Lonchura striata: one gene and its partner. The protein of the gene in region 1 purifies or fractionates together with the protein of each later gene. This does not show direct contact. Links are inferred from orthologs where the notes say so. Each region holds a gene or a part of one and is shown in the gene's direction. Other genes may lie near its edges.

The links. The genes of interacting proteins can lie anywhere in the genome.
Region 2: the proteins of MGRN1 (region 1) and ANKRD46 purify together in Homo sapiens (co-immunoprecipitation; 3 studies listed by BioGRID and IntAct, counting the BioPlex papers as one, with this or other methods). This does not show direct contact. The link is inferred for Lonchura striata from reciprocal best matches to the Homo sapiens genes MGRN1 and ANKRD46.

What each region holds. Positions count from the first base shown.
Region 1 is NC_134618.1:4,077,393-4,085,220, forward strand, and holds the start of MGRN1 (E3 ubiquitin-protein ligase MGRN1), read left to right. Parts: upstream 1-4,818; 5' UTR 4,819-4,896; coding exon 4,897-4,984; intron 4,985-7,828. UniProt on the Homo sapiens protein: E3 ubiquitin-protein ligase. Mediates monoubiquitination at multiple sites of TSG101 in the presence of UBE2D1, but not of UBE2G1, nor UBE2H. Plays a role in the regulation of endosome-to-lysosome trafficking.
Region 2 is NC_134603.1:21,600,554-21,608,054, forward strand, and holds the start of ANKRD46 (ankyrin repeat domain-containing protein 46), read left to right. Parts: upstream 1-4,482; 5' UTR 4,483-4,536; intron 4,537-7,501.

The sequences.
Region 1 (7,828 bases):
CCGGCCAACCGCCGCCCGCGGCTTGGTAGTACCTGACCGTATATGGTCAACAACGGCGCGGCGCCCAATGGGAGGGCGGCGGGGGCGGGCCGCGGGCGGGGCGGGGCCGGGGCGGGCCCGCGCGGTCACGTGGGCGCGGGCGGTGTTTACGGCCGGCCGCGTGCGGTTTCCTGTTGACGTGAGGGAGCGGCGGGGCCGCGCTGGGCCCGGGGCAGCGGCGCCGCTGCCCTCCGGCACCGAGACCCCCTGCAGGCCCCGCCGCCCCCCTCCTGCAGCGTGCGGAGCTCTGGCGGAGACCCCTTGGCTTGTAGCTGCCGTGCGGCTCCGCGGCCCGAGAGGCGGGGGAGCAGCAGCAGCCCCTTGGCCCCCGCGCCCTCCAGCCGCGCTTATAAACTATGGGCGGGTCGCCCACCCCCTCCTGGTCCCGGATTTCCCTCAGCCGCAGCGTGTCCGTGCATCGCTGAGGCGGCTGGTGGGAGCTGAAGGGAGAGGTGGCGGCGAGGGAAGGTTCTGGAAGGTGCCGGGGGCTCAGATGAAGCAAACAGTGTCACAGCAGGTAAAAGCTCGCAGCCAGGCGGGCGCTGCAGGGCCCGGCAGAGCGGACAGTGCTGTAGCTAAGGGTAAGCAGACACACACACACCGTTCAGTGCCAGGGTAATAACACCAGGGAAAAGATGAAGGGAACTGCCGGCTCCAGCCGCCTCCACCTTTCCTGAGAGGAGGTTCTGGGCTGTTTCCTGCAGTTTGGAGAGGCTGAGCCTGGCTGCGAGTGGATTGTTCAGTAACACCTCTGACCCTGGCTGGCATTTTGCTGGTGTTTCTGAGCCTTGAGGAGTAAATGCCTGAAGCTCAGGCAGGTGATGCACTTGATGAGTGGGGTTTGCAACCTCAGCTGCCTGGACAGGAATTGCTCCGGTAGTGTCCAAAGCTACTCAGGATTTTCCACGTGTTCTTTAGTAACCATTATAGAGTTGCACAACCATTCAGCCTGTCCAAGCCTTGGAGGATTTCAGGGCCAAGGGGATTTCCTTCTTGTTCTGTGTGTCTCACTGCCTAAATCCAAGTGAGAGCACAGCTGTACGTGGCGGTGGGACCTATCAAGAGGTGACTGCTCTTTTCTTACAAGGTCAAGACAACCCCCAGGGAGAGGTGGCACAGGCACGTTTGTAGCCATCATGGGGTAAATACACCAGGAAAAACAAATCTGCTGAATGATTATTTTAATCAGAAGGAGTCAGGCATGTTTAGAAACCTTGGAGTTTGGTGTTTGGAGGGAGAAGGGTTGGGCCTGGCCCGGCAGGGCTTTAGAGAAGGGTCATAAGCCCTGTATAGCAGGGCAGTGTTTAGGGAGGCAAAGTTCATGGGCACAGCACTCCTTCTGGTGAGCTGTAATTCCATGTGGTGTCTCCAGGGCTCCCAGACCTTGTTGTTCTACACATACCTGACAAACACAGCGAGTGGCAGTGGGAACAACAGAGACAAAGCACTGGGTAATAAACCCCAAGCAGCTGGACTTTGGATGGGCTGCTCTGGTGACCGGGAGCTTTGCAGGGAAACATATTTCCTTGTTTACATGGGTGTGCTCATAGCTGCCTCCCCAGCAGACACATCCAAGGAGACTCCTGAAGGGCAGCTAGGGAAATGTGGCAATGGGAGGGTGGGTGTCCCTCTGGCCCATCTGACTCTTCCAGGCTGCAGCTTTGTGGATTCTTCTTCCTGGGGTTCAAAGGATCCCTCATCTTTTCCTGGATGGGATTTGCTGAGCTGGAAGGCAGTGCAGGAGCTGAGGTCTCCTCACCACCCCTGGGGCTCTGCAGGCTCCTGGTGGCAGGAGCCATGGCCCAATTTCACCCTGGTCCTTCCCAGTTTGACCACCCTCACCCCACACCATGATGGCACTCAGGGTCTCAGGTCCCTTGAACCTTGTGAAAGTGTTTCATCCTTTCTCACAGAGGACTTCCCATCCTCGTGGCTTTCTTCCCTCATGCTGCAAGCAGCCGCTGGGGCTGGCAGCACCAAAATGGGGGCAAACACATCTCAGGGAACCCAGAGGTGAAGGCGCAAAACCCACTCGGGTGGCACCACCAGGGTGTGTGGGGCTATTGCTGCTCCTCCAGCCCATGGGACCCACCTGAGGAGCTGTGGGACCCTGGCGTGGGCTGGCAGGGCAGCCCTGCTCCCTGCCCCAAGCCAGCCACTCTCCTCGCCCATGCTGCTGGCAGTGGTCCTTGATGGGCTGGAGGAGGCCGTGGTGCAATGTCCTGCCTTTGTGTGTGCCAGCACCTTCGTCCCACAGGCTGGGCGGGGGCAGAGGAGCTGCTGCCCTTCAGCTCCGCTCACTCGGGATTTGGGGCGGAAGGGCTGAGCCCGGCCCTGGCACGCCGCTGCTGTTGTCGCTGTGTCGCGGAGCAGGGCCTGGGAGGGATGGATTCTCCAGAAAAAGCCCCTGCCCTCCCACATGGCAGCAACCCCCACGGGGCCCGATGGCTTCCTCTGAGCGCTCCGGAGAGCGGGGCGGCCGGGAGGGACCTTCCCGCTGGTGGAGGTTTTGCACAAACAAAAGATCTCCTGCTGCAGCTTCCCGGGCAGAGCCAACACCCTGCGGCTGTGGGACCTGGCTCTCCCCTGCTTAACCCACGTGGCACCGAGCTCCTGGTGAGCAGCGGGGGCAGCTGCTCAGGGAATGTGGCTTTGCAGCGAGATCATCTTTAAGGTCCCTTCCAACCCAAGCCATTCTAGAATCCCATGATTCTGTCCCAAAAAAAGCTCAGGGAACAGCTCTGGGGCAGCTGCCTCTGGATGCTTCTTTGAGCTGGAGAAGAGCAGGATGCTTTCGGTGCTCAGGCTGTGGGAGGAAAGGAAGAGGGACTCTCATCTTCTGTCCATATGCAAATTCCCCTCCTTGCTTGCTTCATGGTGCAAACACTACTCTCCTTTGGCCCCCAGGCCGTGGCCAGCTGGCCACCAGTTCTCAGGATAGAAGAGGGAGATGGACCCAGTGATCCTTGCAGTGCCCAGTCTGCTCCAGGACTGAGCCCCAAACTGGCTGGTGGGCTGCAGAGTGAGGCCTTGGGGGTTGTGGATTCACCCTGCTCAGTTTGGGGCTACTGGTGGCACATGAGCTGTTCACATCACCCCGCTGCTGCCAGGGCACTGCCCAGAGCTTGTTCCTATGGCTGTGCAGGCAGGGAGCCCTGGACACGCTCTGGGCCAGCACACGTGTCCCTGTGATGGTCAGCAGACTCCATCCCTGTCCCTGTGATAGTCAACAGACTCCATCTCTCCCTGGTCTTGCTGTGAGAAACCCTTGCACGGAGAGGCTGCTTGGCACTGGCACTGGCACTCCAGGTGCCAGGAGGATCCTGGGGGACACAGCAGAAAGTTCCCAGGCACAGTTACTGCCAGGGCACAGCCAGAGCCTGGGGCTCCCTCGTGCCAGGCGCAGGGTACCCAACTCTCGTGGTTGGCCAGCAAGACTTGTTGCTCATTCCATATTTTTTCCCTGTCCTCCTTCCCAGCCCTGCTGCACAATGAGATGCTGAAGAGCAAGGTCTGCTCCTGCTCTGTCCTCACCCCCAGCATGTGTTCCCCTGCATCCCATGCCTCTTGCAGCCTCTCTGGCTGTGTTCATGTGGCCACAACAGCTGCAAGGATAATAACTGTCCGGAAGCACGTTTCACCTCGGGATTGTTTGCTCATTCCTGCTGGGCGTGTTTTAGTTTGTGTTTACAGCCAGCAAATTCCACCCACTGCCTGCTCACTTGCTATCACAAAATCCTTCTGTGCTGTCAGGCTCTGCTCACTGCTCCATCCCATTTCCCTAAATCCCAGCCCTCTTCCTTGCTCCCAAGGCTAATTTAAGGGGTTTCACATGCGCCACATCAGCTCCTTTATGTCTCCCAGTGATTCCCAGCTCCACTGCTGGGAATTTGGGTCCCCAGTTCCTTTGTGGCATTATGGGCAGGGAGGTACTTCCCATCACAGGGAGCGATTTTTCTCTGTTCCTTGGTGCAGAGGGGACAGGGCTCAGTCCTGGGACATTGATGGCTTTTTCATGCCTCTTGCTCCATGCCATGTTCCTCCCTACTCTTTTGTCCCACATGCAAGGCAGCCCACAGCCATTCCCTCTCCTCGCATTCAAACCTCAGGCATCTCTATTTCCTTTCATTTCCATGTCCTTCTCCCTGGGAGGTTGATCACCTCCTTTCCTGCTGGCTTTGAGCCTCAGCCAGTAGCAGATCCCACATCTGGGAAGTACCCTTGATAATTCTCCCTGGGCATCCTTGTGTGTGGTGTGTCCCTGGACAGCCCTGGGTATCCCTGTGCAGGCTCTGTCTCTCTGGGCATCTTCCCTGTGCTTCCCTGCGCCAGATGTGTCCCTGGGAATCCCCCCTGCGCATCCCTGTGCAGAGCATGACCTTGGGCTTTGTCCCTCTGCATCCCTGTGCAAGGTGTGACCATCCTCCCTGTGCTTCCCGGTACAGGATGTGTCCTCGGCCATCCTCCCTGTGCATCCCTGCCTGAGCTCCCAAGGGCTTCTCCATCTGAGGTGCCCCTGGTGATCTCCATGCCCGGGTCCCTCCTATGCAGAGTGCCCCATGCCCATCCTTGTTCCTCTCCCTGTCCCAATTCCCACTCCATCCCTGTTCCCGCCGCAGCGCCTTCTGCCGGCGGAGCTCACGGCCCCCCCCCCCCACCGCCATTGGTAAATGCCGCTGCCTCCCCGCCCCGCCGGTGGTAGGCGCCGCCGCGGTGTCTGCCGGGAGCTGTAGTCCCGGGGCGGGAGGACTCGCTGTCCCGGCGTGCCCCGCGCCGCCGCCGTGGGTGCGGGTCCCGGTGCCGGTGCCGCCGCCGCCGCTCTGCGCCCCCGGGCCGCCCGCCCTGTCCGCGGCCGCCATGGGCTCCCTGCTCAGCCGGCGCATCGCGGGAGTGGAGGACATCGACATCCAGGCCAACTCGGCCTACCGCTACCCGCCCAAGTCCGGTGAGGGCCGCGGGGACCGGGGAGAGGGACGGGCCGTGCCGGGCCCGGTGTCCCCCGGGCCGAGCGGGGAGGCCGAGGAAGGAGTGCGGGAGCGCCCGTCACCGGCCTGGGCTGGCTCCGGCTGTGCCGCGGCCCAGCCCGCCCCGCTGGCAGGGCGGCCGTGTGTGGATGGATGTCCGTGGGCACGGCGGTGGCACCGGGCCGGGGCTCGGGGGCTCGGGCGTGAGGGCGTCTCCGTGCCCTGCATGCCGGGCTCGGCTGTCCCGCCCGCCGGCGCCGCCCGTGCTGCCGGGGGTCACTGAGGGACCACAGGGACCGCTCCCGCCGTGGAAATGCGGCCGCAGCGAGCTCTTGGTCGCTGGCCTGTGGCTGCTAAAGGGCAGGTGACAGCAGAGTTCGGTGGGGACACGGAACAGGATTGGGTCTGGCTGAATATAGGATGGCCAAATTCCCGCATGACAACTCCCTTTAACTCCTTAAAATGGCAGTGGCGCTCACCTAGGAGCTGTTGGGCTGACACAGCCTACTGAGTGTCTGTTTTCCACAGAGAATTGTCCTGAAGGCTTGGAGATCTGTCGGTGCCGCTTGTGGACAGTTGGGATGAGCCCATGACTCACCTTGTCTTGGGCTGGCTTTTGAGATTGACCAGGTTTAACTTGTTTAAAGAGTTTTACTTATTCTTCTCAGAAAGCAAGTGTTCAGAGAAATTCAGAGAAATATCCATTTGCTTACAATTTTTTCTAGGTTTCAGTTCTCTTAGGGCTTTTCCAGGCAGGCTGAATAATTTGCAGAGCAGCAGTTTGGGTCCCCTCACTCTCAGATACAAAGACTTTTCATTCAGAGATTCAAGTCCTGTGTGTGTCCATGACCTGCTGGCTGTGACATCCTCAGAGGGGGCCAGGACCCTTGTTGGAGGGGGTGCAGGATCATGTCAAATAGAGTCCTGTCATCATTACACCTCATCTTGTTGCAGGTTGGCCTTCAGCAGGAATGGTGGTGTGGAGGAAGCCTGTCTAGAAAAGTCCAACAGCTGTGTTAGCTCTCTTAGAAAATATGACCTGCTTTTTTAGGGGGTTAGGAGCTAGTTTTTGTGGGCAGCCAAAGAATAAGTCAGAATGCCTGAATTAGGGTCAGCTTCTCAAGGTTGTTTATTTTCTCTTGTCTAAAACCTGCTTTCTCAAGGAGAAAGCAGATTATAGATAAGAAGATCAGTCTGCAACACACTCCCACCCCCTTGGGCTGGTGTCACCATTTTACACAAAAAACTACCTGTACTGTGTTTACGATAATGTGCCAATATCTATTATTTATGTTGGACAGTGTATTTCTACCTTAAGCCAATAAAGTGTCACCATCACAGCAAGACATGGAGGGCAAGAAGGAGAAGGTCAAAGACATGACCAAATTCCTCTAGTTTGCCCCTTTGAATCCCTTATTTTAAAACCTTAAAATTCTACTTTTTCGCCCTGTGTTAATCCAACTACCATACTACTCAAACTCTTGTGGCTTGTAATTCCTCATACAAAACTGGCAGTTTTTTCCATGGGCTAAAATTGAAGCCACAGCTGTTTTTGACTTTGTGCCAAGGTCTCTGAGCCCCCTGCCAGGGTCTGGAGACAGCCAGGGCAGCCAGAGGGATGTGCTGGGTTCCCACAGTTAATGGTGTGTTGGGTTTTGGGCTTGTCGGGGTAACCCCATCACACACCCAAGGTTGGGTTTGTGTGTTGCCATGCTCCCTGGAAGGGGATCTGTGGACTGTAATGCTACCAAAGAGTGTTCTCTGTGTGATACCTCCCTTGTAGAACTGAACAGCCAATGCTTTCAAGCAGCTAGTTAAATAAAAATATTTGTATTTCCTACAGAGGCTCTAGATTAATTTTCTGTGGTATTTTATTGTGTTCTTTTTGACATCTAGTGTTAATCCAGGGCTTTCTCTTCACATTCTTTGGGTTTATCTAACAAAGATCCTCTTGACTTTGGGGAGAGAGAAGAGCTATTCAAGCTCTAGGCAGAGAAGAGGTGGTGAACACCTGTGAGGTGGAGGTTCAAAGCCCAGAACAGTGAGGGCTGTTAGGATGGCAGCTCCCCTCCTTCATGTGGAGCGTTCAGAGGGACAGTGTCCTTCGAGGTCCTGCCATCTCCAGGATGATTGTCTTGGAGATGGGAAGTTTGGTACCAAACCTGGCAGTGAGGATGACTGGAAGTGAGTGAGTAGGGTTTGGATTTCAGGAAGCAAGCTGGAAGTAGTACAAAACGTGCTTGGGCTAAATGTTTGCTAATTATTTCTGACTGGGCACTGCTGCTGTGAGCCCTGTCTGGAAGAAGCTGGTTTTCCATGGGCTGTGTTGGGTGTGTGTGCTGGAGACTGAGCCTGACACACACTCCTGGCTCTGAGATTACCCCTGAAAGGCTGGCATGAGTGCTGAGGGAGCATGACCTGAGGTCACCCATCCTGGGTGCAGCACTGAGGGCTGTCCTCCTTTTCCATGCTATCCCTCCTTGTCTCTGGTTTCAGCAGATCTTGGCTTACCACAAATGTCTGCTCAGCTGCTGTCCATGGTTGGCATCAGTTGGAAGGATGAGGGTTTGTGTTTGATGAGGGAGCAAATACCCTCCCCCAAAGATGCACTGTGCAAGGAAATAAACCCTAAATACAGGGATTCTGGCTGTGATTTTAGCTGCATGTCAGCCTGCCTGTGGAGAGGGACACGGTGGCTGTGCCTTGTTTAGTCACAGCTGGTTGCAAAGGCAGAGGTGAATATTCACTTCTCCTCTATTGGCTTTTGATGTGGTTGTGGCTGGGTCAGTCGCGAGCCCTGGGGAGGATGGAGCAGATTGCTGTGG
Region 2 (7,501 bases), on another chromosome or scaffold:
AAATATCTGGCCTTTTTACAAGGCCATAGTTTGAAACTTGATGAAACTTGTTTCTAGTTCAATCTCTCTCTCAACAATGTCATCTTTATTTCATGGCCTTCCTAAGTCAGCACACCTTACCTCAGTGTTTGCATACAGATGTACAAGACTGTGTGAACTTTCTGCAAGATTTTGAGAATTCCTTACAAATACATTTCTCACAGTAAGTGGACTCACCTCTGCCTGATTTTTCTGTCCTCACTCTCCCATTGTGCAGCTGGTCCTGCAAATATTGTCTGCATTTTCTGTTGGTGCTACTTCTGCCCTCTTGCAGAGAAGATGTAGAGAAGCCACAGTAGACTAAAAGAAACCCAAATGTCAAGCCACATAGGGTTTTTCCTCCTTATGTATTATTGATAATGAAAGTTCCACAGAGCTCAAGTCTGCTCTTGTCAGAAGCCTTTATAGAGCATCCTACAAGACTGGTGTTTTCACTAAAGGGCAGGATGTGTAGATATTTCCTAGAAAAACAAGAGAACTCTATTAGCCTGGAAAAAAAACACAAATCCTATAAAATTATGTATTTGTGATGCTCATGAGTAATGTTAACTCAGAGAACACAGTGCTCACTGTACAACAGAATTTGAGGATTTAGTAGTAAAGATCTGGAATAACACGGCAGACGCCTTGCATTAGGAAATAAATGCATGACAGTAGTAAACAGTCTGTTTTATTACCTTTTTACATTTCTTTGAACCTTAAGAAACTCATCATAAATTCACATGCTGGAATATGAGAGTGGTTATATCTAATTCTAAATGAGCAGTTAAATGGGACATAAGAGAAAATTTTAAAGCAGTTAAGTTACATTAATAGGTATTGAGCACTTCTTCCTTATTCATGCTAATGATTAGTGAAGCTTCTGACTTTCTGTTTTCGAATATTACATTATGTGAGGGGAGGTCTGTTGAGATAATTTATAAAATATTTTTACCCTATTTTTCTTTCATGATTGTGATGATGAAGCTCTGTCTGGTAAGTTTTACATGGTGCTTAACTTAGCCCCCCCTTGGATTTTTGTTGTTGTTGGCTGCAGTGACTGAATCTGAAATCTGAACAAGGCTTGCATGATCCTGCTAAAGTTAAAAGACCCATCTGGTCTGATAAATTCCCTTGAGCGCTCTCCCCCTACATGTTAGAAAGTCTGGTAGTGGGGAACAAAGTCTGCCGAGAGAGTGGTGTAGGGGTAAGACTTTCACATATGAAATATCCCTATGAGTTTACAAGTCACATAGCAACTTTACCACACGGGAACTATTGGGTGTGTATTCTAGGTAGGCATTAAATCAGATGGCCATACGTACATGAAACAGTTCTTAATTTACAGATCACATGCTGAGTTTAACATAGGACAGGAAGCTCTCTTGTTACACTTATAACCAATGTCTCTAGCTTACTTTCCTTTATATCATTATGTGTTTCTTTTCTTAATGGCCAGTAACTTAAGTTTGACCACAGTGTTATTAAGCAAGCTGTAAATCAGGGTTGTGTCTTCATGATCATAAATGTGAAGAGGCTTTTGGATCCTCATTGATTGGCTGATGTCCAGTTTCCCATGTGGGTGGGTGTGTGGGTGAGTCAGGTGCTGCGTACCCGCCCCAGACCCCTGTCCTCAGCCCTGGCTAGCTCTCCTGGGGGGCGAGTAGGGCGAGTGGAAGCACCCTCCGCTGTACCCAGCTGGGCTTTGGAGAGTGCTTGGTGGGTCCTGAGGTCGCTGCTGAATCCAACGGAGAGGAAATGAGGAGAGGCACTTGTTGGGGGCAAAAATCCGATGTTTATTGAGGTCCTGAGGATCCAACAGCATCGGAGGGGGCCAGCCAACAAGAGCAACTGAGGGGTGCTGGCAACATGTTAGATAGGGAGAGGGAGGGGGACCGATCAGACAGTGGGGAAACATATGGAAGTGGCTCTTGTGAGGATTGACATGTGGGGGATCCAGTGAAGGGGAGACAGGGTAGGGGTCCCAGGCCCTCATCCAATCACTCGGTGCCCTGGATGGAAGTTTCCAGAGGTAGGGGAAGGGGCACCGAGTGACAGACAAGGCACTTAGGAGGGGGCAGGGGACTGACTTGGCACCTTCCAGGGAAACCGACACTTGGGGAAAGGCGGGAAAACTCAGGGAGAAACCAATACAGTATGGGGGTACACTGGAACAAACCATGACAGAATAAAGGTGTAATAAAACATATGAAACCGCAACTCCACAGGCAGGATCCAGGCCTGTGACTGGGATAGGCTCAGGCCACATCAGGACAGTGAATGGTCTTTGCTGTTGACTGGAGCATTGCAGTTATTTAGCTTTTTTTGGTCTATTAATTGGCATAGAGATATTAGTGTTCTTCTGAATGTTTTAAAATGAAGGTCCTGTTACTACTGGACTTACTAAGGAGCTCAGGCTTACTTAGTGAGAGAGTAACTTTACAGTCTGTGCCTATTTTATTTATTATTCCCTTCCTCTCTTCATTCTGCTTTGAAAGATATCTCTGAGTACGCAGTTGGCAGTTACTACATCTCAAAAGTATCTTGCAGTGCAGTTCCAGGTGGAATTATTTTTGCTTTGTATTGTGATATGATCAGATACACAGGAGAATAGAAAAGTTTTTCAGTTGATTACATTTCTATGTATCTTTGATAATCCTCACAAATACATCAAGTCCAAAGGTAACCCACATTCAACTGCCAAAAAATGCTTAGATGCTCACAGGCCTAAAAAGGTATGTTTAGATGTTCTGCTGAATAATGTTATCAGCTTAGAATTAAATGTTTACAGATTTGGGCCTTTAGACTTACTTTTTTTAAAAGTAAGCAGAAAACTAGTGATCTTTGAAGAGTGACATGCTTTTCTTGCTGTACATTGACATTTTACACACCTTGTCTGGTGATCTGTTCCAGAAAAGCAGCAGTCCTGGAAGTTTCCATCCCTGTGTCCCTTAACATCTATCATGCTTAGCTGTGTTTTGAGTGAAGGCTATCCTAGAAGACCATAATCTCAGGGAGTAGAGATGTTCTGTACAGAGCAGAGCTTAGACTGTTCTGTAAGCTTAGACTCAGAGAAGTGAGGAAGATAACTAGCTTGTCACCTTACTTTACTCCAGAATCTGTATTGTTTTTCTTCTCTAACAGCACATTGCTAGCCAGCAATAACTGATACATGAAAGTAGTTGAGCTATTTCAGTAGATTTCACCAAATGTTTCTGTGTTTTTTTCTTTTCCTAGTGGTGAAAAAGTGGCAGAACTGAACTTGAAGGAGTTGTACTGTAAACTTGGAGTCAGAAAGTGGTGAACAAGAAGCTTAAGTGAAACTACTAAGATGCATGAAAACTACTATAAGCAGAGAAATAAATCCCCTGAATAACTTAGTTATGAAGCCTTTAAACTTCAACAGCTTGACTGGTTTTTTTTCATTTTTTTTTCCTGAGGCCAATTTTAAATTGGAATTGACTGGTTTCTGTGGTGTTGCATGTTTTAAATATTAGCACTGTAGTACCCCTGAAGGGTCCTTTATTGTAGCTAGCTATTTATTCCCTCTCTCTTTAAGAAACTATAAAGAGGTGTTTTGTGGCTCCTTGCCTTCTAATATTTATACTTGCATGATGCAGTGGTCACAAAAAAAAAATACACCCATAAACAATATAGAAGAGAACTTTGAGTTCTGAGTTGCAAGCTACCCCTCTGGGCAGAGGTGGATTACTTTTTATCTGAAGTGCTTATTTCTATACACTAATATGCATAATACCTGAGGCTATAGCTTGAGCATTTCTTTTAGTAAGTGGCCAGGCTTAAACAGCAGAGCACTATTCCCCTTTCATTTGCTTGTTCCTTGGACTACTAGTCCATGATGCTGGTGGGAGTGGTGAACTGGACTGGTGAGCTAACCTGGTCTAAAAATACTGTCTCTTTATTTTTGATTTGGCTTTGATGGCCTGTTTTTGGCCTGAGTCAGTCCCCTGGTTCTGTTTGCTGTGCTGCAAATGGTAATGCTCACTTGTGGGTGAGGATAAACCCTGGGGATGGGAGCCTGGTGCCAAGGTCCCATTTGTCAGAGTGCCCTGTGGGGGCAGTTAGTATAGCAGGGCCGGTCTAATGGCTCCCTACTGCAGTTGTGTTCATGTCTACTTCTCTCTACAGAGAAACAGAAAACAAAGAAATCTCTTTTTGCTTGCTTAGTGAATTATATTGATTGCAGCAGATGAATGAATGGAGTGGAAGGGGAAGAACAGACCATGTCTTTTGGTGGCAGCAAGGAAAGGTGCACAGAAACCTGTTTTTTGATGCTGGTAACTTGTCTGGTTTAAATCTACTGCATTGGAGCTCAGCCTCTACATATCTTTCTGTTTCCCTCTATGTGCCTTTACAAACTGCAGTACTAGCTGTCCAGCAAAAGAGCTGCATGCTTCTCAGCTGTGGCAAACTGTCTGAGGAGATAATTCTCCATCCAGCACTGCTCCAAGCCCAGGAGAGGAAATGGGGCTGTCTGGGCACAAGACCCAGCGGAGGGTGAGTAATACGTCCGTACTGGCCATGTAGCCTGCACTGCTCCAGTTGTAAGGTTGTGGAGATTTACCCAGGTTGCTTAAATCAGAGGGCTCAGGCCAGCTGTGCCCCTGGCACATGGGTAACTGAGTGTTCAATTTGCTTTGCTCCTGCACAGAGCTCAGCCTGATGCAGCTCCACAGCGGTTGGTTGCAGCATGGCAGTGGCTGCTCTAGGAGCCTTACCACCTACTGTGCAGAGAAACCCAGAGTTGTTTAAGAAAAGGAGGAAAAAGTCTTAGTTCTACGTTGTAACAATGTTTGGTACCACCAAAACCAGTGGAGAGATTGGATAATCTGACCCCAGTTTATTTCCATTTTGCTACAATGTGTAAAGAATGAGTACAAAATGCACTTCAAGATTACATCTGTGCTTTGGTTTGGTGTTTTTTAATCTGGTTAAGTAATGAAATATTTCTGGATTGCACTTCCATTTTATTTAGCTAAAAAAATCCAAACAGCCATTCAACAGAATAATTTCTTCATGTTTTATTACTTTTTTTCCCTTGGCTTTTAAAAGTTTTATGGATCCTTCTTTCAATACACAGCTGATGGATTGTAGAATTTCACTGAAATTGTTACATACATAGGTAAAACTGAAAGGACTTTTTGTAATCTTAAAGATTACCTTTCCACAATAATTTAATGTTTTATATTAATTCTTGACATATTTATAAATGGTTCTTGTTGGCATTGATTTGTGCCACTTTTCTAAGTGCTGGATATAGTTGTTGTTGATAGGGGTCATGTTGGTGTTTTGGGGTTTTTCTCCTTCACACCGTTGTATTAGCGATTCTAACTCACCTATGGCTTATGCATGGGAAAAATATTTCACAAAAAGGACACATTTAGGTACCTATCCACTGTATTTTCAAAGTGATGTATGTATCCTAATGTTCCTAATATGTAGGCACTCTGTCATCATATAGGAGCATGTAGGTGATCTGTAGGTTTGTTGAGTTGTACATCTACACACAGCTTTGGAAATGATTAACTCATGAGGAAAGAACAGTGTAGGGTGAACTTGTCTTAAAATCAAAAGCTTTGTTTAAAAACCAAAATAAGCTTTCTATTTCTATGTGTTTCTGTATGTTTGCTGATTTTTTTTCTGCTATTTTTAAGAATTATTTTAAGGCAGTCCAGGAAGTTAAGAGGAACTGGGTTAAAACAACAGACAAGCAGATGCAGGAACTTCAATTTCTACAAAAAATGTAAACAAAGCAAAGGTAAAACAGTATTTTAAAAAACAATCAAACCAGATCAAAGATGTGGGGTTTTTAAAGAAATGAAACTAGGGGCTATGACTTCAAAAACAGAGTGTGGTTTTGTGGAGTCATTTGAGCTAGAGACCCAGGTCTCCCATCTCCTGGTCAGATACCGAACCACCAAATAGAAAAGGAGATTCCTATCTCTGTTAATATGTTTTTAAAATCCCAACACAATGAGCTGTATCTCAAGGCCTATCAAGAAACATTTGATTGAATGCTATTCTTCTCTGCAAAACTCAGGTGCAAAAGTTTGTCATTCAGTTTAGGCAACCAGATGAAAACTCAGACTGCTGGGTCTGTTGTTCAAAGTATCTCTTACTTGTTAGTTTTAGCTCTTACTATTATCATATCTGGTAATCATTCAAAAGACCTATCTCATCATATCCTGTTAAAAAAAAAAAATCAAGTTTCTTACTCTGTACTATAAGCACTATTCTCTGTATCAAGCACTGACCTATTGTGTGAACCTGTGTTCTTCCAGAAGAAAGTTTAAACATTTGTCTTATAGCCCCTCCCCCCCCCCCCTTTTTTTTTTTCTCTCCAGATCACTAGACCTACTTGCCTTTACAGCAAATCTCATTAGTTCTGTCCTTTGGTGCAGTTCCCAATGCAGAGTTGAGAAATGCAGTTCTATGGTATATACAGCTTGATGTTTGATCATTGTATTTGTGATTATCCAGAAGAAAGCTGCTCAGCTGACATCCAGATTGCCAATGATGAGATTAGCTACTGCATGACATTGCCTACTTAACCAAATTAGAAGTCAGCTTCAAAATCAACAGGTTAAGAATTTGGCAGGTTACTTTTCTTGTGAATACTTCACTGACTTTGTGTCTACATTCACTTCTTCTTCATGAAAAATAAGCTTAGAAGGTCTGGGGAGAAGGGGATGGTGTGTTTTAAATCTTTTCCACTTGCCCATATTCTCCTCCAAACCAATTCTGAAACATATTCTCTTGGCAGCCTTTACAGCAGTGAAACATTTCACTGTACTCTGCTGTTTTCTCCCTTTCTTAGCATTCCATGTCATGCTTTTCCTGCCCTTTTCCTTTATTTTTGGAGGTAGAGTTGTCAGAGTTTTGTGTGGGAGCAAAATAACTGCTTTAGCCAGCTTTATGCTTGCAAAGACTCCCCCTTCCTACCTCCCACTTGCTCCCCTCCCACAGAGAAAGTGTTCTAGTAAAGATTTCAGCTGTTTTATTTGTATACTGTATAAAATGAACCTAATTGACTGATTCTGATTTAAGTCTACTCCCTCTGTTCATTGGCTGGAGGGTTTTTGTTTGGTTTTTCTGTTTGTTTTTCTAGAGTATACTAAGGATGCCAAAGAAGACACATTGGAGCTCTGATTTGAGTACAGGCACATGACTCAGGCACATGAAACTGGATCATTTTGTACACAAAACAGGTTATTTCTCAATCCTTTCAGGAAAGGATCAGAATAAAATGTAATCTTACAGGGTTAGTCATGCTGAGGCTGGGCCGTAAGGAACTGCAGCTGGTTTGTTGCACTATAAAGATATTAAGAACAGGGTAAAATTAACTGAGTCAGGAAAATGATGGTTCAGTAGTTAGGAACTGTAATTTTCTTCTGGAAAAGGAATAGAAGAGTCAAGTATGTAATTTTGAAAAAAAATCAGAAAGTTCTCTGGTTTGTCCTTT